4 linked regions of the Schizosaccharomyces pombe genome follow. The gene in region 1 interacts genetically with each later gene. Each region holds a gene or a part of one and is shown in the gene's direction. Other genes may lie near its edges. The genes, in order: hst4, ppc1, hst2 and mag1.

Region 1 (5,963 bases):
CTACATCTTTTTTTAAGCGACGGAGAATGAAGGGTTGTAATCTTTCTTGTAGATCTCGGATGTCGCGCTCTTGTTCAGCATTTGGTTGATCAAAATTTAATTCATCTCTAATGTAAAATTTTCCAGGCATCAAAAAATTAACCAAGGATGCCAGCTCCTTGAGATTGTTTTGAAGAGGAGTGCCTGTTATTAATAATCTATTGGCAGTCCGAAATTGAGATAAGGTCTCGTATAAAGATGATTCACTGTTTTTGAGTCGATGAGCTTCATCGATAGCAAGATATTGCCAGCGAATATTGTTGAGTTCTTGCTTATCTTTCAATATATACTCATAGGTCGTAAGTAGAATGTTAAATTTAAGCTTGCGAGAATTCGTAGAAAGGTAGAATTCATACTCTCTAATATTAGCACGAGATTCCGTATTACCTGTATAGCAAATACTATTCAAATCAGGTGTCCAATTGGCCAATGTTTCTTGCCAAGCCGGAACAGTGGAAAGCGGTACGACAATAAGGAAAGGACCGTGTTGTTTTAAAGAATGGACTAAATAAGATAAAAAGCACACAGTTTGCACGGTTTTACCCAAACCCATTTCATCTGCTAAAATACCATTTTCATTCCGGTGCCATAAATATGCCATCCAGTTTATACCAGTAAGTTGAAAATCACGGATTTCCCCCCCTTTAATGTAAGATGGTTGCTTTTCTAACTTGCGGTACGGGGGACGGGTGTTATAGAAAACACCTTTATAAGGGAGATACGGACTGTTTTCACGTTGCAAGAATTGATAAACTTCATTTGGTGCCATAGAATAAATTACGTCGGCATCTTCCCATGTGCAATTATCATAAGGAAGCTGCCTCCACTTTACAAAGTATTCTGTTTTTCCTTCTTCGTTAGTTTCAGAAGCTACTATGCGTTCGACAATTTTATACTCTTCAAAAAGCATATTTTTACGTTCGCGTTCAATATCCAGAGCTTCGATATCTTCAAAGGTTGTAGTTGGATCTTCACGAATCTCGCGATCATAAATGATGTTTTGCTTTATATAATTGTCGACTTTTTTGTAGCCCCTCACAGAAGAAAGCGTAGAATAATCTTCCCAAGTATTATGAAGATGGGAAACTTCCTGCCATTTAATTAAATACTGATAGCTAGACTTCGGGTCATCGTCTTGTGCATCCGCTCGCTTTCGGTGATTTAAAACGAAATCAATAATAGGCTCATATTCCTCTTCGACCTGTTCTTCTACTTCCTCTTCTTCGTCCTCGAAGTCGTCGTAAAATTCTTGTTCATTGTAGTTGACGCTTTTACCTTTTGAAGATCGCAATGAAGTACGGATTTCGGTTCCGGAAGCAGAGTTAATACTGAATCTATGTCTCTTATCATATGCGTCTTCATCATCGCTAGCCACAGACTTTTTTTGCTTTGGTGCAGGTTTGCTCTTTCGTTTTTTAGGAATCGGAATTTCATGCTCGTCAATTTCAGTATAAGAGAAATCACGATAAACGGGTCGTTTAGCCCTTGAAGAACGTCTTGTACCATCTACTCTAACATCGTCAGAGTTTTGCGCATCGTCAATTTTAGGGGTAGACAAAGCAGAAGATACAACTGTGCTATTAGCAGTGCTGGTTACGATTTCAGAATCATCAAAGGCAGAAGACGATAAAGATTGCTGCGAAGCGAAAGAATTTTCATGATTTAACAGGCCATTCATGCTAGGTAGAGAATTTGTTGTATTTCCAAACTGAGGATCAGTTACTGCAGAGCCATTTAAAGTAGACTCTTGAACGCTCGTAGGATGATTTTTTAAATCATAATTCGAATGTTCAGGCTCCATTCTTGTTACTCCAGAAAATTTATATAATGTTAAATGTTGAGAACGTCCACAAAGTAGGCGCTCCTTTGCAGACTCTCTTTTAAAAGCTTAAAATGCTTTTTTTTAAATATATATCTGGATATTAACAGTGAAGCAACAAAGGATTAATAGGAATAAGCAGTATGCCTATAAGGCTATTAATTGAAATTACTATGTTGTTGGCAGAAATTAATAGTGCAAAAATATGCAACACTATAAATGAAATGCCAGGCAATGCAGGTGATTTTGGTATCAAATTACTTCTCCAGAGTCCCTTTTTATTAATAAAATTTACCTTTTGAGAAGGATTCACTATTTTTACTCATGCAATTTCCACTCTCAATTTTTGCGAAAATGCAAGACCTTTACAAACAAAAAAATCCTTTGCCATAAAATGTACGAGCTATTCTCATTCACTCCATGGAAATTAAGTTAGCTTACAATTTTCATTTCCGGTTCGTATTTCCGAGCAAGTCTGCAGATTTTATTTCATTTTCAAATTAACTGTGCAAAACGTGAAGGCAAATTCGTATTTCATAAAATGCTTCAGTTCGCATGCTTTTATTAAATTTAAAGATCATTAATTTCAAAAAATTTCTATATATTTTATTGTTTACTATCCCATAACGTTAAATAGTTTACACAAAAACGTCGAAACTTTTCACATAAACGTATGCTTCTTTGTTTCAATTGTTCATGAAAACATAATGTATTTATTTACTTCTTTAATTACAATTGAGAGGGGAATCGAGACAGAGAAAACAATAGTTTCTGAAAGAAATAAACTAATTAAAAATTTGACCGATTGGTTTTACTAAATTTTTTTAACTGCATGGATATTTTACCAAAGATTCAAAGATATATTTATTGGTTTTGTTATTTTTTTGAGAATTTTATGAAAGACTTCACCTTCCAACTTTTTCAATTAAATGTCAAGGAAAAATACTGTACTTAAAACTCTTGAAAGTTTTCCCAATATTTAAGAAAATGGAACTTCAATTGTTTTTTTAAATTTTTGCAATCCCTTTTTGTTTTAATATTTTTATTACCAGTTTCTGTATATATTTATTTATTTCATTTGACTATTTAGACAATTTATATATTGATAGAAGGAGAAATCTCAGAAGGATTATTGAAGACTTAATTTTATTCTTTTTATTAATGTCAGCATGAAAGCTGATTTTCTAGTCTGAACATTTTATTAAATGGGTAAAAACAAAAAAATCAGTACTCTAAATAAACATTGGTTCAACGGCATTTTTAAAAGTGAATAGAGAAAAAAATTGCGATTACTGTTATACAAAGACATGGCGAAATTGAGTCTTTCAAGCGATATAATTGTCCTTCAACGGCCTTTCGAAACGTACGTAGACACAACCGCCTAACCGTCAATCACAACTTAATTCCTCAACCATTCCATTTTAGGAAGAAGTCGAAGAGTTCAATGATTTTAATATATTTTAATTAATGCACTCAACTTTTTGGATTTAAAAAATTCCAAATTTACGTAGCTTAGTATGAAAGTGGAGGAGCACGTCCCTCTAATACAGGAGTCGAGGAAGAGAAAATGCCAATCTTCTGAAAATGCTTCGAAAAGGCAGCAATTACTTTCCAAGCTTCCACTTAGACTTCATACAGGCAATGAAAATGTCGATTTATCTCCTTTAGTTTCTGCCATTCGCAAGGCAAAGCGCATAGTCGTTGTTACTGGTATGTTGCTTATTTATGGTTTTCCTTCTTTTATTTTAACTTTTCACTTAAAAAAAAAGTGGGATTAAAAAAAAAATTAAATATTATAATCGTACAAAGGCTCATTTACTAATACGTTTAAACAGGTGCTGGAATTTCTTGTGATGCTGGAATTCCTGATTTCCGTTCCTCTGAGGGTCTTTTCTCCTCCCTTCGTGCGGAGTATAAATTGAACTGCTCCGGGAAGGAATTGTTTGATGGATCTGTTTACAGAGATCTTAAGAGTGTTAACATCTTTCACGCAATGATTAGAAAGCTACATATGCTTTCTAATAATGCACGCCCCACTGATTTCCATTTATTTTTATCTCAACTAGCCCAAGAATCTAAGCTGTTACGTTTATACACACAAAATATTGATTTTTTAGAAACCAGACTCGAGGGCCTTCAAACATGTATTCCATTGCCGCAGTCTGCCCCTTGGCCTACCACGATTCCTCTTCACGGGACACTGGAAGTTGTAAGTTGCACAAGGTGCAGCTTTTTGAAAAAATTTAATCCAGATATATTTGATAGAAATGGTGTTACTGTTTGCCCTGACTGTAAAACCGAGAACGAGGTTCGTCGTATAGCAGGAAAAAGATCAGTTATCGAGGGTTGCCTTCGTCCTCGGATTGTTTTGTACAATGAGATACATCCGGATTCCGAATCTATTGGTTCGGTCTGTTCACAAGATTTAAAGTCCCGCCCTGACTGTCTAATTGTTGCTGGTACTTCTTGTAAAATCCCTGGTGTCAAAAGAATTATCAAGGAAATGAGCAACTGTGTGCATAAACAGAAGGGAAATGTTATTTGGTTGAATTATGACGAACCTACGAAAGATTTTTTGAACTTATGCGACCTGGTTGTACAAGGAGACCTTCAAATTGCTATTAGACGTCTGAAGCCTTTATTAGATGCTCCAAGTTGGAAACTCAAGTCCCATTCTGCCAAAAGAACTTCAAAACAAAAATCTTCCGAACAAACAAAGATTACTTCTTCCACTAAAATTACGAAAGCTATTGGCTTGAACACGAAAAGCAATGATAGTTCTAAGAAAGATAACACTTCTTTTCAGTTGCACCAAGTGCTCAATAGTATTGAAATACCCAAGGTGGAAATTAAACAAGAAGTTGAATATGCAACCCCTTCTCCGCTTTAACATTTAGCTTCAATAAACCATGTTAAAAATATCAATTTATCCTTCTTACCCCAAATGAGGTTTAAATAATGCCTGTAATAATAGTAGTGAACCTTCTCTGAATCCGAAAAGCGATACAAATTCCGAAAAACGTTTGTCTAATTGATTAAGCAACTTTGATGTGATGCTTACAATTTTTTCATTTTGATTCTTTAGTATATAAGAGATGCAGTAATTAGGTTGTACAAAACCAAGATCATCAAATTTTATCTCATAAAGTATTGTAATTTTGTAAAAGGAATTTTGAACATAGAAACATTGAGCGTCCATGTTTGCTGATGCCACTTTTTTCATATGCTTTGATAAATAAAACCACGTATTGCAGCGATATGAGTAATGGTGGGCAAATAATGAGAACGCTCTCAAAAGAGCTACTATATCGAGACATTGTATTGCAGAGTCCGAAAAACTACTGAGCTCTTTTCTAGCAAAATGCGGGATTTTATAAGTAATAAATAAAAGAGCATAATCGATTGTTCGGACCTTAATTTCTAGTAAAAATTTGAAGCTTGGGAGATATTCTATATCTCCTTTAAGAGAATGATGAATGATTTTCTCGGATTCCGCTTCAAATTCATGTTGTGTGAAACGAATGGATGATATGGACGAATTCAATTTAACATGTTTTTTGGGTTCAGCAGATGGCATAACTTGCTTTGTTTTAGGATTATCAGGGTTTTCGGTATTATAAATTACTACAGAGGAATCAATCTCTAATAATGATTTTATAAATCCGCTTAAAAACGAATCGTCGCGTTGGTTAATTGCATTTCGTCTAACCCTCACCTCTTTCTCAAGAAGCAGGGTTTGATGTACAAGGTTACTCCTTTTGCGCAAAAGATCCATTTTTCTGTCAGTGTCTACTCTTCCGTTGCTAGATTTGGATTGTCCACTGTTTTCATTAGGCCTCGCTCGTGAATCTACGCGAGGCATGCCATTTAAAGTAGTATTTGGGCTTCGGTGAGCAACAGTACGTTTTGTCTTTTTTTGTTGCGAATCACTATCATCACTACTGCTAGATCCTTCTTGTTGAGAAATTTGACTATATCGCCTACCGGACATTTTGATATTTATAGTCGTACGCGATAATAGTATCAGTATTACTACAATTAACAATGCTCGTGCAAAAGTGTTTTAATACTTTTTATGCAACATTAATGAAAAATCCAAAATCCT
Region 2 (6,000 bases), on another chromosome or scaffold:
ATCTGAATTTATGAATACTAATCGTCTTAATGTATTTTTTGAATAATTTTTACTTATCGGATTTACTAAATGAGGGAGTTGAACTGAAATTATATAACTACTGAATTAATACTTATAGATCATTTTTCATTTTTAATCTGAATAATTAATCAACTTTTGGTTTTTTGAATATACTCTATAATGAGTAAAGTAATATAAAGGTGTTTTGTGTTGGCTAAATTTACATTACCTATATTTTGCCGTACGCACTCTAAATTGTTACAATAATATAGGGGTCAAGCAACTACTCAAATCACATTATTTAAAGGAGATGCAAAAACAAGATGATTTTTCATTTAAATATTGGACTATCAAAGTCCAACGGGGGTCAATTTTAAAAAGCCATGAGATGGAGAACCTTCAAAGTACATTGGGTTTTCCACCTCCTGAGATGACCTTTGGGAATAATTACATCTCAATTGAATACAAGAATCAGCCTGTAGTTGGATTTTTTACTGAAGATGCTCTTAAAATGGTTGGTACCAAACCTGAAGATGTAATGCAAGTTTCTTTTGCAAAAGACTGGGCCAAATCCAGAATTAAGCCCGGAGAAGAATACCCTGTGATTTACCCATTTGATTGGACTTATTATACTGATTATCAGGGAACTATACAACGTCCAAATGCAAAATTCATTGAAATTGATCAGGTAATACCTGTTCAAAAAATACTTAACGCAGGACAAAATTTATGGTTCAATGAGATAATTCTTTTCGAAGATGAGTTAGCAGATAATGGAAAATCAATGTTTGATGTGAGAGCTCGAGTTGTTCAGGGTCATTTAATATTGTTAGCACGCCTTGTCGTACGTTTAGACAAGGTAAATGTTCGATTGAATGAGACGAGGATATATATTGATTTGTTGAATGATTTTCTCTTGAAGGACTGCCGTAAAAAGCAAGCTACTTACGACAAAATTATTAAACAAATACCTGTGGGGGGAGACAAAGCTGCATTGCTAGATGATAACAATTGGTTAAGTGAGCGCCTTGATACCGTTGACCATAAAATCTATAAATTGAATTTTTGATGCTAAAATGATTCGCTAATGGCAGACATGAGAATTTAGAACTTTTGTCAACGAATGAGTGTTGAAGCAATTTACAAGTTTATTACGTTTAGTTCATGGTAATATTTATAATCATTTTCAACTAAGAGGTTATTAATTTAGGTTTTCTAATTGAGAAAGCAAAATAAATAGATACAATCTTTGGTACGATTAAACGGCGAAGATATACTACTGAAACTGCAAACAAATTTAAAATGGTCCAGTAAATTTTAGAGTATACTTAATTAGGAAGAATGATGGCCTCGTAATATTGATCGTTCGTTATAACATTGTATTTGGCAATCAACCTGTCACAACCTCTCTTCCCCTTTATATTGTACGACATTAATCGATCCGTTTTTTATTTCAACCCAACTCCTACGTATTTATTTGCAGGTAATAATTAATTTTATTAATTAAGAAAAGATTATCAAAAGATCCTTATCGTCATTCAGTAATGAGTCGCTGCTGTTTAAATTTGCCATTGAGACCAGCATTTGTTAAGCAGCCGGTATGGGGGAAGAGTATATACGGTCCCTTAAGAAGAAGATTTTCATTTTCTCCAATAAATGTTATTAATCATTCACCTTCGGAAACGAAGAGAAGAGACCCAGTAGAAGAACTCAGATACAAACCCCTTACACCTCCTCAAGATCCACGTAAAGTGGCTCCGCCAAATAGTTTTCTAAAGAAAATAAGTCTTATTTATCAAAAATATATCTCTCCTAAACAAAATTTATATTATGAGGCTACTGGTACTGCAAGATACATGTATTTTGAGGCTGCTCGACAAGCTACCCCCGAAAAAAACTCGCTAGGTGCTTTTGAATTTTGGTACCAGAAGTGTGAAATTCCTATGACATTTCAGTCTTGGTTTCAAATAACGCAATTACATTTGTGGATCCTCCATACTCGCATTCGTGGTTTGCCAAAAAATGAAAAAGTTGCCTTTTCACAGGCATTAACTACTCGTTTCTTTGAAGACATGGAACTCAGAATTCATAAAGATTACCGCATTAATAGCAATCGAATTTCTGGTATGTATCTGAAAGATCTGTTTCAGCAACAGACCGGCGCCATTTTTGGTTATGATCAAGGAATGCTGGGAAGTGATGCTGTTTTGGCTACATCCGTTTGGCGTAACCTTTTCGTTGGTCGCCCAGACGTCGACTTAGTAATTCTTGAGACTATTGTTAAATTTATTCGCCTCAATGTTTATCGCCTGTCATGTTTATCAACCGATGACTTTATCAATGGGAAGGGAGTACACTTCGTCCCACCTGAAGAAAGTGCACAAACAAATATTTGATTAATAAATGATTGCTACTCTAATGATTAATAAATTGACGAACGGTCATGTTTATTATGCAAAACCATGAATCTTTTTTGTAAATAATTACTTTGAAAGCTTTTACCATTACGTTAAATTGAAAAGTAATGAGGAGCTTTTGAAATATTTTATAGTAGAGAATGTTTGTCAATTTAATTGAAATCGTAGCATTATGTTGTATTGGAACTAGTATTTTAATAGCAGTTAATACCGATATTATCGATGCATTAATTAGCTACTTCTTTTCGTCTTGCTTTCCGATAAAGCTTTCTTGTTTAGCTTTATTGTATTCCGACCTGATCTGCCACTCCGATATTTCGTCTGCGCTGCATATTCCATATTAGTTACATATCCTTTTTTATACATGATTGATGAATAAGTTTCTTACGCTTTGGTTAAACAATCCTTCATCGTTTTATTTTCACTTCTACATTTCCAGGTTACGCTAAAAGTCCTGCCAGTAGCGCATTTCACAAAATCTTCAATTTCTTTCTGGCAATTTTTTTTTAATAGCTTTTGGTGCTGTTTCCGAAGATCAAATTCCTCTTCAATTGGAGATTTATTCATTTTAGATAATCAGTAAAATGTTGGTAACTAAACCACGTTACCCAACAGAGCGCAAATAAATGAAAATTTTTAGTCTTAAGTTGATTAAAACACAAACTTAAAATTTATTTTAATTTTAGCTTTTCATAAAAGACAAGCACGAGTTGAATAAAAAAAAAAGGCCTTAAGTGTAATACAATCACAAAGTGTCGCGTTTCAGTCGTTTGTGGTGTCGCTATCGTCTACATTGTTCAATAAACAGACCACTACTTGCTGAATTTACAAGCTGCTAGAGAACTGTTTGGTTAGCATTTCAGATTTTGTGAGTTCTCTAGTCCTATCATTCAGCAATAACGCATACAGTTTTTTAAACGTCGTTTGTTTATTTTTGAGCTCATCGTAAGAGAGGCATTTCTGGGTTGCGATACTCTTAGCTATTTAGAATATATGCCAGAAATGGATAAATCTAACGATTTCTTTGAGGAGAATCCTTGTCCTAACTCACTCGGTGATGTCTCAAGTCTGATTGAAGATTTTATAAACCTTCAATCAAACTCCCAAAACATTGCATTTGTTACTAGTGGCGGCACACTTGTGCCTCTTGAGCAAAATACGGTGCGTTTTATCGATAACTTTAGTGCAGGAAATCGTGGTGCAGCATCTGCTGAATACTTTTGCAAGTCTGGATATTCGGTCATTTTTCTGTATAGAAATTATAGTTTAATGCCATTTACTCGACGATATGAAGGTCCCTGGACAAATTTGTTTGAAAGAAGTAATGGCAGTCAGGAGAAGCCTTGGATTGTCAAACAAGAGTTTCAATCGACAGTATTCAATGCACTCAACGAATTAGATACATATACGAAACATCATCGACTGATAATGATTCCTTATACTACACTCACAGAATATTTGTGGTACCTGAAAGCTATAGCTGAACGTTTACAGATAATCGCTTCAAGAGCATTGTTTTATTTAGCAGCTGCTGTTAGTGATTTCCATATTCCACCGAAGGAATTGAGCGAGCACAAAATTCAAAGTGGTTCTGGAAGTAACAAATTAGAAGTCAAAATGCATCCGGTTCCAAAATTTCTGCGTTTCTTGGTTGACACATGGGCTCCTGAAGCTTCTATTATTTCCTTTAAATTAGAAACCGACCCTAGTATTCTGATTGATAAAGCAAGAGTAGCTTTACAACGTTATAACCACCAGCTGGTGATCGCCAACCTTCTTTCAACAAGGAAACGATCTGTCGCGTTTGTAACCTCAAAAACGGTTGAATGGCTTCATTTGAGCGACGATGACATTGTAAAAAAGGTAGAAATCGAGCAATACATTGTTTCGAGGGCAATTTCGTTGCACAAGGAACGAATTCAAGAGTTCGCAAAGGCACCTTAAATTATGTTTATTGACGATTAGTCGATTATGAACTTATAAAAAGTACTAGTTATGTTTCTTATCTGCTTTAACTTATATGAACTATCGGTTTTTCTTTTAAACATTTTACTCATTTATATTGTTAGGGTTTATTATGCAAACACCAGTGGTACTTTTTTATTTCTCTATCATTTTCGTCTTGTTATTTTACGAAGTTGCTTTATAGCATTTGTAGAGGGGTTTACGAAAAAAATGAAAGGCTTTATAAATTGCTAATACGAGCTATGAATTGAATCGTGTACTATTGGATCTGTTGTAATTTTTTAAAAATTGCAGCTTTTTTTTTAGATACTTATTACTGTTGTAGATTACTCAGGTCTGAAGTGTGTTAAAGAATATATTAAAAATGATGATTAGTTTATAAAAATCAATGTCAGGAGTATATAGAAAGCAAAGACTTGAATTTAAAATGCGCAACAGTTATCTTGAATGAACAAAAAATAAATAGTGAGTACCTGTAAGTAGTAAGCGTATATGATTGTTTCTAAAGCCTTCAGTTCTTTTTGAGATCCCATACTTCTTATGAGTCGCTTCAAACCCCATGACTAAAATGCTCATGTTTAATTGCAAGCTCACGTACACAAACAACGGCGATTGTTATATAGTTCAATGAAAAACCTATGAGATTTCAATTACTTTTAAAACTGTTAGAGAATCAGAATGCAAAGGTTGGCAGCTCGAAAATGTCGAGGATAAAACAAATATTTAAAAAGGCTATTATGGCTTTTACAGACATTGGTAAATAATTTTCTTTATAAATATTTTAGTAGTTTTTAATGTATATGAAGTCGCAATGGTGTAGTTGGGAGCATGACAGACTGAAGATCTGTTGGTCATCGGTTCGATCCCGGTTTGTGACACTTTTTGTAAAACAACACAAGTTTATGTAAAGAATTCTTTATACAAAACTGGAAAAAACTATAGAACAAAGCTGCAAACGTTTTTACGATAAAACTGACCTATGACTTATAATCCAGTTCCTCTGCTTCCTATTGAGACATGTTAAGACGGTTAATCATAAGATTCCATTCTGGATGAATTGCACCATTCATTAATCGTGGTTCTTAAGCTAAAAAGGAAATTATTCCGCATCAAGGGATATCGCTCTAAATTACGTTGGATAGAATGGTTTTCTGGATCAAGCGTATTTTGTTTATTAAGGATGCTGCATTAAGAACGAAATTTAGGAAAACTGTATTCACCTTGACGATTTTGAACGTGCAATTGCTCAAGTAGGTGACCGAGCATCTAAGTTTCTTATTAAATCCCAAAAAAGCCTAACGTTTGTAGCAGAATCTTGGGAAGTCGATAACAATTACATCATTCACAAGCTGTTAAAAAAAAATACTTATAACTTCCTCTTAAACCACCTGATTATCTTTACCACTTTATTATTCAACAAATTTTAAAGATCGTGAATGTTCAAGGTAAGAAATAGAAGCGATTAGTTTTTCCATAAATTAGTTTATAAGTTTTGCATCATGATTCATCAATGACTTTTTTCAATCTTTTTCTGTAAAGAACAGGAATTCACAGTGTGATCACAATCACTTTTTTAATTCCCAAAATGCTTTTTAATAATGAATTGCAAATGCGCGAT
Region 3 (6,383 bases), on another chromosome or scaffold:
CATGCTTCTTCTTAGCCTTTTTTTGTTTTAAAATTGCCAAAATAGTTTGTGGGTCTGTAGCATCCTCTATTGAAATAGGTGCTTTAAGAGATTCCTCCAAAGCAGTTTGCCTTCTAGCGCGACGTGCTTCACGCCTTTCTTTGGCAGATACTTTCTTAGCTGTTATAACTTTAGAACCTTTTTTACCACGCTTTTCGCTGACAATATGGATGTCTGAACCAGTGGTATCAGGAGTACTTTGATTGTTGGTGTCCTCATTGTAACTGACTTCAGACACAACATCTTGAATGTTATCTTCAGAAGTTACCGAAGTACCTTCCATTTTAAGTTCCGACACCTTTCCTTGAGTTTCAACAACCTCCATTTCTAACCTTCTAGCTTTGCGACGCTCAGAACTTTTTTCATCTAACTGCCATAATATTCCATATCCCATAATGAGGACAGTAGGAGGTAAATAGTTTTTTTTGGCCCGAATAGCAAAACTTCCTGTTGGAAGAATTTCACCTGTTGGAGCAAGTTTCGATACCTCATCAATTCGAACCCACCATGCACTGATTACGGTCTTTGAATCCCATGCTTTAGATGAAGCCAAAGCCAAGGATCCAGCTTGTTGTAGAGTATTAGGGGGAATAGGATCATGAGGATTTTTGTTTTTTACAATAATTATCGAAGACTTTGGCAAATCTGCACAAACAAAGATATCACCTGTGTTGCAATACTTTTGGAAAAGTAATTCATTTTGCTGGGCATCACGGCCTCCCAGAACTAGATAACCTTCCGAAGAAATAAACCAATGAAACTTTTCAAAAAAGAATGTCTTTCTACCAAGGAGAATACGTTGTGTATCTGCAGTAGTAGAGCGCTTCAAATCCTGTTCAATCTTGCGTTGGGTGCTTTTCAGGGCTTTTGAGGCTGCCTCCGCAGTCTTTGTTTCTTTAATTAAAGCTTCTCGACGTAATTCATACTGTTTACGCGCATTTGCAAAGGCGCCAAGAGATAAATCCAATTCAACGGCAATAAACTTTGACGAAACTTTTCCTTCCTTCACTTTATTATCATCATCAGAATCATCCAAATCATCATCGCTGGTTTCTGAACTTTCATCAGAATTATCTACAGACTCTGGATTAGGAAGAAAAACGGTAACGGCGTTTTTTATAAGTTTAAGGGGAATTTGAATAGCAGCAGCTACCGGACTTCTTCTTTTTTGAGATTGAATTAACTTTTCAATATCTAACCAATCCATTCCTTGGTTCAACAGAGAGTTAATGTATGAGATAATAGCCTCAACAAGTTCAGGGTTCATCTCAATTGCCTGAGCCCTCAACGCACAAGTAGCTTGGGCATCTTGTAAACTTTGAAGTTTTCGTGCTTGATCCTCTTTAGCCGATTCAAGCCTTCGCTCAGCTGTCGCTAGGCGATCATGTGCTCGTTTTTTTAGCTTTTGTGCTTCGATAGAAGAGAAAAACTCGTCAACGCATTCGTTATAGGTTGGAAACTCCATGCACTTTCTGTTTGCCTGAACGAGCTGTAAAGGCTGAAAAGGGTGAAAATCTTCGTATAATGTAGTACATTCTTCAGGGTGTTGAGGATCAGCAGCATTTGTTAGTGCTTGCTCCAGTGAAAATATATAACCCTTTACTGGGGGCTTATTAACTGCAGCTAATATGGAGTCGGCTTCTTGAAAAGCAGCTAATAAATCGTTTTTCTTGGTTTCGTCTGCACAGAGCTGGCAAGCAGGGAATAGTGGATCTAATTTTGAACGCCGAAGACAGTGCTCTATAAGTGCATTACCATATTCACCTAATCTTATAGTCAATGCTTTTCTAAGAGAAACTGGTTTGGGTACTTTAATCGGCTTTGTAGAAGAGGATAGTTGTTGGTCAGGTAAAGGTTCGTTAATAGAAGTAGGAGAAGCATAAGCAGTGCTTATTTCATCCAAAAGGATATTTAATCGTTCAGCTGTCATATGAGGAATAGTAGACTGAGATTTATTGTCATTAACGAGATTATTTTTGTCTAAATTGTACTTTTGCCCTACGGCATAAACTTGGTCTTTATCGAAGGTGACCACTCGTAAAAGAGACAGAATCTTGTAATGGCCGTCTAATAGTAAAACATTTCCAGCAGCGAAAAATTCACAAACCAGATAGTACGTCCAATCGGGGTCTTGATCATTCGCACCACCTCCAAATGTGAAAACGAGTACTCGATCAGTACCCAACTGAGAGACACCAGTTAACCTTCTAGATTTTATATGTTTTCGTAGCTTCGTTACAAACCCAGACAAAGGGGCATTTTCTCGATCAAATTTTGTTAAATGAGCACGAAACCCACTTTCAATAACAATAGAATATTTTGCATCCTTTAACGGGTTAGTAAAAAAATATTTATTACTTTCTACACATACTTGTTTACCAAACTTCAACAAGAAGGTACGCGCATTTAGATCATAAAAGTTATTCAAGCGACACCCAACCACTTGTTCTCGTAATTCCGCAGCAATCGCAGCAATATCTAAAGCGGAAAATCTTTGCTTCATTTACGTCTATAACACCTATCTAAATGAATTTCTGCGTTACAACAAAATGAAGTATAGGCTCTAGTTAGAATGTAAACATGTGTATAACGTAAGTGAAACTGAAGCACTAACAAAGCGCAATGATATCCGCAATATGTAATAAGGAAAATTATAGCACACCATTGCACCATAAAACGGTGTACATTAGCAGCATTAAAATTCTTAGCGCAAATTTGGATTGTTCTCTCAAATTCATTATTTCTTTCCCGACGATGATTCTTTAATCGTACATTTATAGTCGTACATGACACTGATTATAAAGATAAAAAATAGTTAACTAATGATAAACTTATAAAAAACTTTGACACCTAATATGTCAAACTGGTGTGACCAACCCAATAAGTAAAACCAGAAAGTCAAGAGTTATCGTTGCTGAATCTAATCAAGTGAGCCGAAAGTTGATTAATCATAATTTCTGATTACCCCGTATCTCATTTTTTCAACGACATCCAGAAACTCTTAATTGAAAAAGATGGCTCTAAATGTTTACCAAATAACGAGTACTAAAGTCGAATACAATAGCCTTTTAAACAGTATAATGCAGTTTAATGGAGCATCGGTAATGGCGTTTGATATTTTCAACGAGTAAATAATAATGGAAATTTGGCGTACCCACAAACTTTGTGCATTAACATATTGATTTGTTCATATCTGAGAATTTTAAGTGATCCAATTTTTGAAAGAGTTTGAGTTGGGATTTTTAAGGTAAATCGATTATTGGCTTGCTTTGGTTGTTCTCAGAAATTCGACAATGGTGAAAAACACTGTTAAACACGTCGACTCTTCCAAGCATTTAGAGAAAGTTGCATCCTTAATCAAAGAAGGAAAAGGTAATGACTTTTAATTTTCTTTCCTTGACCATACTAATGCGATTTTATCGAAAATAGTAAAGAAAATATGTGTTATGGTTGGTGCAGGGATCAGCACTGCAGCAGGAATCCCTGATTTTCGAAGCCCTGAGACTGGAATTTACAATAATTTACAAAGATTTAATCTTCCTTACGCAGAAGCTGTTTTTGATCTATCTTATTTTCGAAAAAATCCGCGTCCATTCTACGAATTGGCTCACGAATTGATGCCTGAAAAGTATAGACCAACTTATACTCATTATTTTATACGCCTTTTACATGATAAAAGGTTACTACAAAAATGTTATACCCAAAATATTGATACCTTGGAGCGTTTGGCAGGTGTGCCTGACAAAGCTCTGATTGAAGCACATGGCTCTTTCCAATACAGCCGCTGTATTGAATGTTACGAAATGGTAAGGATTGTTTTTGAAAAAGTTAAAGTGAAAAAGCAGAAATTGGTTTTACTGACGGAAAACAAAGGCGGAAACGGAGTATGTTAGAGCATGTATTATGCAAAAACAGGTCCCTAAATGCAACAGTTGCAAAGGTCTCATCAAACCAATGATTGTGTTTTATGGCGAGGGATTACCAATGCGTTTCTTCGAGCACATGGAAAAGGACACAAAAGTCTGTGATATGGCACTGGTAATTGGAACAAGTTTACTTGTTCATCCATTCGCGGATTTGCCTGAAATAGTGCCAAATAAATGTCAACGAGTTTTGATTAATCGAGAACCAGCTGGCGACTTTGGGGAGAGAAAAAAGGATATCATGATATTGGGGGATTGTGATTCCCAAGTACGTGCGTTATGTAAACTATTAGGATGGTCTGATGAATTGGAAAAGTTGATTGATACGAGTGTTGAAACGCTGACAGAAGAAATATCTTTACTTTCTGTTGACTCTACAATAGAAAAGAATGCCTCTGAACAAAAGAAAGACGATAACTCGGTCAATCCTTTCACTAAAATAGAGGAGAAGAAAAAAGACGAGGTGACGCTGTTAGTTTCTGATGATGAATAGTTCAGTTATTCGGGAAATTTTCTATATTGTCATGATTAAAACTAGGAGATCCCTATATTTATTATACTAAGAAAACGGAAATTCACGATTCGGTTTGATGAATATTTGAATCTACACATACGATTCGTTTTCTTTTAAACAAGTTTAAATACTTTTTTTTATTTCAGCAATTTTATAATATTTCCTTCCAGGCGTCCTTTTGATTGCCTCTTAACCATGAATCATATTGCTCTCTTTATGAGTTGTATGCTGGGTTAAACTAATGCGAAAAGGATAACAAAAAGGGGGTTCTGTATACGATCTCGATCAAACTCATGAAGATGCCCTCGCATTTTCGTGAAAATAACTTGCATTTTTTTTAAAATTGGCGTCCATCTATATACGCAATTTGGGTTATGAGAAAGTTGCGCTAGAATAATTGATAATGGTTTCAAATTTACTGCACTGTAATCTAATACAATCTTTGTCGAAACCTTTTTTCTGTTCAGTTTGGAACATATAGTTCTGAAATGGGAGATTATTCATTTTCATTTAATAAAACTTTGAATTATCCAAGAATTGGAAATAGGAATAATTAATCAAATTGTTCTTTTTGTAGTTTCATTCAAGAATAATGCTTCCTTTGAAAAACTAAAGCGTTTTCTACGAATTGTATATTGTAACAGGGGACGGTGTATAAACCAGTTAGTCCATCATCATAACCAGTTCTGATTTGAATTTTGTTCTTGTGGTCATTATTGTTCATAAAATGAACTAGAGATGTAAAGACATAATTCATATTACAGAAAACAAGTATCTAAGCGCTTGAACAATTATCAGTTAATTTTAGAACAATTATTAAATTTATATCTATTTTATCTGCATATATCTATGTACCTTTGGGTAACTTATGAGTTGTACGAATTACTGACTACATGGCTGTCACCTCCTGTTCGGTTTGCTAAGAATTTACCGATTCTAACGCTTCCTTCTACCTAGCTATACAAGATTCATGAATTTGATCTATATGAATGCTTAGCAAATAAATAATTGTTCGAAAGCCAGATATATGATTTATAATTAACGTTTTTAGATTTGACGTCAATAGGGATCTTAGGTCTCAATTTCTTTGTTTTGCCATCTTTTTATACAGGCGTGTTAAGCGGTCTGGAAAGAATTTAAAAATAAAAGGGAATGATAAATCGTGTTATCGTTGCAATTGATCAATTCTTATCATTTTAAGAACTACTCACTTTTTTACAGTAGTTAATAAAAGTTCATTTGTAATCTTTATCTTGATTCCTTTCGTTGAGGATCCTCTGAACAAAAGAATTGGAAATTTACACATTATAACAATGAACCCCAAGCGATTGAGGATCACCGGTCCTGAGGATTTGACTGATGCTTACGACACAATGCCGTTTCGTTGTTTAAATGGAAGCATGCCTCCTAAGACACCATTAAATTTTGTCTTTAAGGAAAATGACTCACACGTTTCAAATGGCGTAGGATTGAAAAAAGATTGCATTGAATCAATAGATGATTTGAACTTAGACGACTGGTCAGAACAACAAGAATCCATTTTGCTAATGGTATGACAAAGATGCTGAAAAGAATTAAGGAAGGAGAAGCAAACTTGGCTGCATCCCTCCTTTTTTGCACAATTAAAAGTGGCGAATTTTGAGGTGAAAACATGTTAAATCTCTCAATTCGATTTACAAAGATCCCTTCGTTATGCAAAAACATTACAAAATAACCCAATTTACTAATCAACTATTTCTGTTAGTGCTATGAGAATGAACTTCAAAAACCCATAACCTGTACTCCCATGGGCCCTATATGTTTATGGGCCCCTCCTGAGCCAGTTCTACGATCTGTGCACAATACATTATTAAAGATGGGTTGGAGCATTTCCGAGAAAAAAATGAAAAAGAAGTTGTTGGAGCTAC
Region 4 (5,601 bases), 760 kb from region 1:
AATTCGTACTTTATAGTAGCTGAATGATCTATAAACAATAATTTTTGGAAAATACTAAGCAAATAGTTTCGAACGCCTTAAACTCTTGAATTGATTAACTTTTGTACAATCAACTCCAAGCTTCAATACCTAAATTTACTAATTCAATCCTTCTATATGAGATTTCTATAATCATATCTTAAACTTGATTGTAAACCGGATTGTAATTATATTATAAAGCACGCGATCAAAATAGTGAGCTTAGTTGTTGTTTTGCTGATAATGGATAAGATATAATCCTTGCTCATATCTCGTATTTGAGCATCGTATGAATATCTACTTTGTAAGGTTAGGCGAAAATTATTCAACTTTCAACATCTAAAAATTTGATTCTTTTATTTATTGCACGATGTCAGCCTCGCATCCTGGTATTCTCCATGAGTACACAGAAAGGCTTGTTGCTTTCGAGCTAGTTGGAAAAAGTAACGTTACACTTACATCCAACGTAACTCGATCATTATTGTTATTTGTCGGGGGACTTGGCGATGGTCTTTTGACAGTACCATATGTTCAAGAACTGGTCAATCCATTAGATGAAATTGGTTGGAGTATTGTACAGGTTCAAACTCAGTCCTCGTATATAGGATGGGGAACGGGAAGTTTGAAACGAGATGACGAGGATTTACACAAGGCAGTGGACTATTTTTTGCACATTGGAGGCGCGGACTTTTCTACTCGCAAAATCGTTTTGATGGGACATTCCACGGGATCGCAGAATGTACTATACTATCTTACACAGTCCATTCTTCCAAACTACTTAATCGCCGGAATAGCACAAGCTCCAGTATCGGATAGAGAAGCCGCGTATCAATTTAACGGGAAAGAAAAAACAAAGGAATTGGTTGACTGGGTTAAAGCAGAATATCTTGACAAAGGACTAGGAAATGATGTTTTACCTAGAAGCAAGGTAGAGAATTTTTTTGGTGAAGTTCCGACATCTGCAAATCGATGCATTGACTTGACAGATGTCCGCGGAAATGATGACTTTTTCTCCTCTGACCTGAGCGCCGATGATTTCGCTAAAACTTTTGGTAATCTCAAAGAAATCTCCGGCTCCACAGCACATAGTCAGTTGATACTGCTTATGTCGGAAAGGGACGAGTTCGTCTCGCCATCAACTGATAAAGCACAATTACTGAACCGATTTCGCGAATCAATTCGTCCTACAACTTCTAATAGTTCCTTAAGCGGCATCATACCGGGAGCTACACATAATGTCGGGCCAAAATCTTCACCAGAAGCTTTGAAATGGTTGATAAATCAACTTATAACGGCTTTAAGAAGCTTCATTGATCAATAAAGATTCGTAATACATAGAATATGACTTTAGCGCTAAAAGTCACGTAGAACAGTTTAGATAATTGTGATCCGGATGAAATATTCGACAAAATCTCGCAATGGAGATTTAACAAAAGTAATGTTTTAAATTCAAAAGCATACCCTTAAGCTATCAAAAGCTTCCTCAAAGTTGGAGTTTGATAACTTTTGTGATATTTTTTATCTTTGAAGTTACTTTTGAAATGCTATAAAAGGTATATTGAGAACAATTCCAGTTACTAATCTACTGTTTTACAAATTAAGACTTAATGTTTATCCCATTCCCTTCATAGCGCATTTATCCATTTTATACGTGTTAAGATTATATAACAATATTCATCTCCATACTTCTGTCATTGTAAATTAAGGCGTATAGTTACTTCAATTGTATTATGAAGACAACTGCAAAGCTTCTTTATGTTCAACGTCAATGCTAATTAGAGAAAGTAAGCTTAGTAAGGTGGATGAATAATTCTTAAAACACTATGCTTTCTTTATAGCTATTCCATCGTTTTATCCATTTTATGCCTTATTGAACGCCCAATATTTCTTTAATCTGTCATATACTCTAAGGTCGAAGAGTTGTTACTTGTTTAACGGAAGTGGTTAGTTTCCTCTGACTCTCCTTTACAACATTTTACATCTATAAAAGATCTTTGATACTAACTAATGGAAAAAGATATTATATAAATTGATCGTTTCCACCATATTGTTTTCACTGTCCAAGACGTAGAAGCCACCTGTGAGTTCTATGAGCGCACATTAGGAATGTCGGTTATCGCATTTGGAAACAATCGCAAGGCACTCGGTTTCGGTCATAAAAAATCAACTTGCATCAAAAGGGTAATGAGATTGACCCAAAATCACACATACTGACTCCTGGGTCAAATGATATTTGCCTAATAGCTAAAACACCCTTAGAGCAAGTCATTGCTCACTTAAAAAAGCAAAATGTTCTCATAGAAGAAGGTCCTATTACAAGGGCTGGAGCTGAAGGAGTTATCCTCTCTATTTATTTTCGCGATCCAGATGAAAATTTAATTGAAGTTTCAAATTACATCTAAGAATGTTGAATTTGCTTCAAGATTCCTTTTTTTTAGCTTAGGACTTGCTTACATAAATAACGAATTGCAGTGCAATTCCTAAGGAATGAAAACCCTTACCGTTTAGTCAAAAGCACATAATGAGTGATAAATTTTTGATCAATTGAATCTTTGCTATTATGACTTTGGACATTGAAGAGAAAGAAGAGATAGTCACTTCACTCACAAAAGCAGAAATCCATCTTTCTGGATTGGATGAGAATTGGAAACGGCTCGTGAAGCTCGTTGGTAATTATCGACCCAATCGAAGTATGGAGAAAAAAGAGCCTTATGAAGAATTAATTCGTGCGGTAGCATCTCAACAATTGCATAGTAAAGCTGCTAACGCAATTTTCAATCGCTTTAAAAGTATTTCTAACAATGGCCAATTTCCAACACCAGAGGAAATTCGTGATATGGATTTTGAAATAATGCGTGCCTGTGGATTTTCAGCTCGTAAAATTGATTCATTAAAAAGCATTGCTGAGGCAACAATCAGCGGTTTGATTCCTACTAAAGAAGAAGCTGAAAGGCTCTCAAATGAAGAATTGATAGAACGACTTACTCAGATTAAAGGAATCGGAAGATGGACAGTAGAAATGTTACTCATCTTTTCGTTGAATCGTGATGATGTTATGCCAGCTGACGATTTGAGTATTCGTAATGGATACCGATATCTACACCGATTACCAAAAATTCCAACCAAGATGTATGTTCTTAAGCATAGTGAAATATGTGCACCTTTTCGTACTGCAGCAGCATGGTATCTCTGGAAAACGTCAAAACTTGCCGATTATACAAAGCCTGTTAGGCCGAAGAAACACTGAAGGACAGATGTATTATATATTTAAAAGTAAAAAGTTGAATTCGATAAGTTTATTCCTGGTTGGTCTTTTACATTTTATGTACGCTTCTTTTTATTTTTGGTTTACCAATTTATAGTATCTTTTCAATCATTTCTGAATAGAATGTCTACGTCCACTCAGACGAAGCATTTTCGTCACATTACGCTTATATAAAAGAAGTGATTTTTTGGTGAATGATGGCAAAAATAACAAAAGGGAGATGAGATGTTTTAATGGGTTCATTTGCAAATATTTACAAAACACTCTTGGGTGGTTAAGAAAACCCGTTTCTGCTACATTTGTCTTTTACTTTATGTGATACAAGATAGATGACGCTCAGCTGTCTCTAACGATATACTTGCGTATGATATGTTAATAATATAATGAATAATGATTTTTTTTGAACATGCTCATTTCTGTATCTGTATCTATGATGTCGATATAAATATTGAATATTAAATAAACCAGTTATTTCAATTATTTATGTATTGGCATGTAACGAGATAAATCAGCCTCTTTTACCAAAGGATATTTCACCATCATAGATACAATGTCAAATAACAATTGCGCACCAGCCAAGGATGTTATTTCTGCAACATCGTAAGCGGGAGCTACTTCGACAAGGTCAGCGCCTACGAATTTCAGACCTTGCAAACCACGTAAAATTGCTCTCATTTCTCTAGATGACCAACCGCCAGTTTCAGGAGTACCCGTAGCGGGTGCAAATGCAGGATCAAGCACATCAATATCAATGGATAAATATACCAAATTATCACCAACTCTGTCACGAATCTTTTTGACGATACCATCAATCCCCAAATCATCAATTTCACGAGCCTCAATGATTTTGAAACCACAATCAACATCATCATCGTAGTCAGAGAAACTAGAGATAGGAGTACGAATGCCAGCATGAATGTTGGCATCTTTGCTCATAATACCTTCTTGACTAGCAAAGTAGAAATAAGAACCATGGTTTATTCCATCTGCTTCATCGCCATCGCCAATCAATCCAGGAGCCCACGTGTCTAAGTGGCTATCGAAATGAATAACTGAAATAGGTTGTCCGTAAACACGATGCAAAGCTCGTAAGATGGGAAGGACAATGGTATGGTCACCACCGAGTGAAAGGACTCGAGGAAGCACAGTATCATTTTTTGCAAATCCATCATGGTCAGTAAAACTGGAGGGCTTTCGAGCTATTAGCTGGAAATATGCACTTTCTAACTGATCCATAGCTTTAAGAATATCATACGTGGTGACTGGAATATCTCCACAATCCACAAGCTTTGCCCATGATTTGAAAGGATTGATTTCAAGAGGTACATTCACTGCACCGTATTTAGTATTTATGCGTCGAGATCCTTCACGCAAACTGCTTGGACCAAATCGAGCACCAGGGCGGTAAGAAGTGCCTGTATCGAAAGGCATTCCTATAAAGGCAATATCAAAGTCCTCTGACCTTTTACTCAAACATTCAACATTCTCCAAACGACCAAACGTCGCAATCCCTGAATACATAGGTTCGACTATACTTGAGAATTCTACTTCCTCATAGTTACTAGGTACAGCATAGAATGGTGATTGTTTTTCCTTTACGAAAACTGGATTCTTCTCCTGAAAGCCCAAGCCCATCCTCCCAGCTTCTCCAAAGCCAGAAAGTAGCAGAAAAACTCCCCATGTAAACCATTCAACACTTTTCATAATTTCTTGTAGCTACGGTTCTAAGACAGTGAAACTGGCCTTTATATACTTTCAAATTTAGGGCTAATACAAGCCCATCATATCAAAAATCTACTAATCGTATAACTCATTTTATGGCGAATATCGGCGCCTGTATTGCAGAAGTACTGTATAACGGAGTCCATGGAGAAAAATGGCCGATAAATTTTACTGCAAGCATAGGGGGGTGGTTAGGAAAATAAGCTATCGATAGGTTTGGCGGAAATCTAAAGCCTTATTGTTTCTTATTTCATAGAGATGAACCTCGACAAGATAAATGAAAAGGGTAATAGCTTATTGAAATCTCTTATCCTATCCAGAATTTAAATAGAACTTACTTAATCAATAGATTAAGCAGTACATTAGAAAGATGATCATCATCTTAATTAGCAATATAAAAACGGGCTTCTACGTTCAATTGTCTCAGGAAATTTTTTAGGAAATCGTATACTTAATCAAGAGTTTAATCATTTGGCTTTTTGCTATTTTGACTCAATATCGCTATCCCATTTATCTGCTTACTGCCTTCTCACTACCTTTTGCTGTGACCAATTTTTGTTTTTAATATTGGTATTCAATTGGAGTTATTGCCTCGT

The links.
Region 2: mutations in hst4 (region 1) and ppc1 impair growth when combined (synthetic growth defect), as found in Schizosaccharomyces pombe (one study listed by BioGRID).
Region 3: mutations in hst4 (region 1) and hst2 impair growth when combined (synthetic growth defect), as found in Schizosaccharomyces pombe (one study listed by BioGRID).
Region 4: mutations in hst4 (region 1) and mag1 impair growth when combined (synthetic growth defect), as found in Schizosaccharomyces pombe (one study listed by BioGRID).

The regions. Positions count from the first base shown.
Region 1 is NC_003424.3:2,190,894-2,196,856, reverse strand, and holds hst4 (histone deacetylase, Sirtuin family, NAD-dependent Hst4), read left to right. Parts: upstream 1-3,241; 5' UTR 3,242-3,375; coding exon 3,376-3,568; exon of another isoform or gene 3,569-3,693; coding exon 3,694-4,748; 3' UTR 4,749-4,793; downstream 4,794-5,963. Other genes in the region: CENP-A chaperone, CHD family Hrp1, read right to left, coding at 1-1,840; CENP-P family protein Fta2, read right to left, coding at 4,794-5,849. UniProt on the Schizosaccharomyces pombe protein: NAD-dependent histone deacetylase, which contributes to both telomeric and centromeric silencing, proper cell cycle progression, DNA damage control, recombination, and genomic maintenance.
Region 2 is NC_003421.2:1,141,452-1,147,451, reverse strand, and holds ppc1 (phosphopantothenate-cysteine ligase), read left to right. Parts: upstream 1-3,218; 5' UTR 3,219-3,410; coding exon 3,411-4,361; 3' UTR 4,362-4,836; downstream 4,837-6,000. Other genes in the region: TIP41 type 2a phosphatase regulator Tip41, read left to right, coding at 311-1,069; ubiquinol cytochrome-c reductase assembly protein Cbp3, read left to right, coding at 1,545-2,396; cytochrome c oxidase biogenesis protein cmc2, read right to left, coding at 2,653-2,743, 2,806-2,984.
Region 3 is NC_003421.2:1,325,766-1,332,148, forward strand, and holds hst2 (histone deacetylase, Sirtuin family, NAD-dependent Hst2), read left to right. Parts: upstream 1-3,186; 5' UTR 3,187-3,332; coding exon 3,333-3,411; exon of another isoform or gene 3,412-3,413; intron 3,414-3,468; coding exon 3,469-3,845; exon of another isoform or gene 3,846-3,912; coding exon 3,913-4,455; 3' UTR 4,456-5,025; downstream 5,026-6,383. Other genes in the region: ribosome quality control complex subunit Rqc2, read right to left, coding at 1-2,365, 2,411-2,542; SPOM_SPCC132.03 (uncharacterized protein), read left to right, coding at 5,790-6,026, 6,221-6,383. UniProt on the Schizosaccharomyces pombe protein: NAD-dependent histone deacetylase, which could function in telomeric silencing, cell cycle progression and chromosome stability.
Region 4 is NC_003424.3:2,951,802-2,957,402, reverse strand, and holds mag1 (DNA-3-methyladenine glycosylase Mag1), read left to right. Parts: upstream 1-2,538; 5' UTR 2,539-2,578; coding exon 2,579-3,265; 3' UTR 3,266-3,675; downstream 3,676-5,601. Other genes in the region: SPOM_SPAPB24D3.06C (uncharacterized protein), read left to right, coding at 389-1,339; SPOM_SPAPB24D3.03 (agmatinase), read right to left, coding at 3,761-4,987. UniProt on the Schizosaccharomyces pombe protein: Hydrolysis of the deoxyribose N-glycosidic bond to excise 3-methyladenine or 7-methyladenine from the damaged DNA polymer formed by alkylation lesions. Can release ethylated and propylated bases from DNA in addition to 3-methyladenine.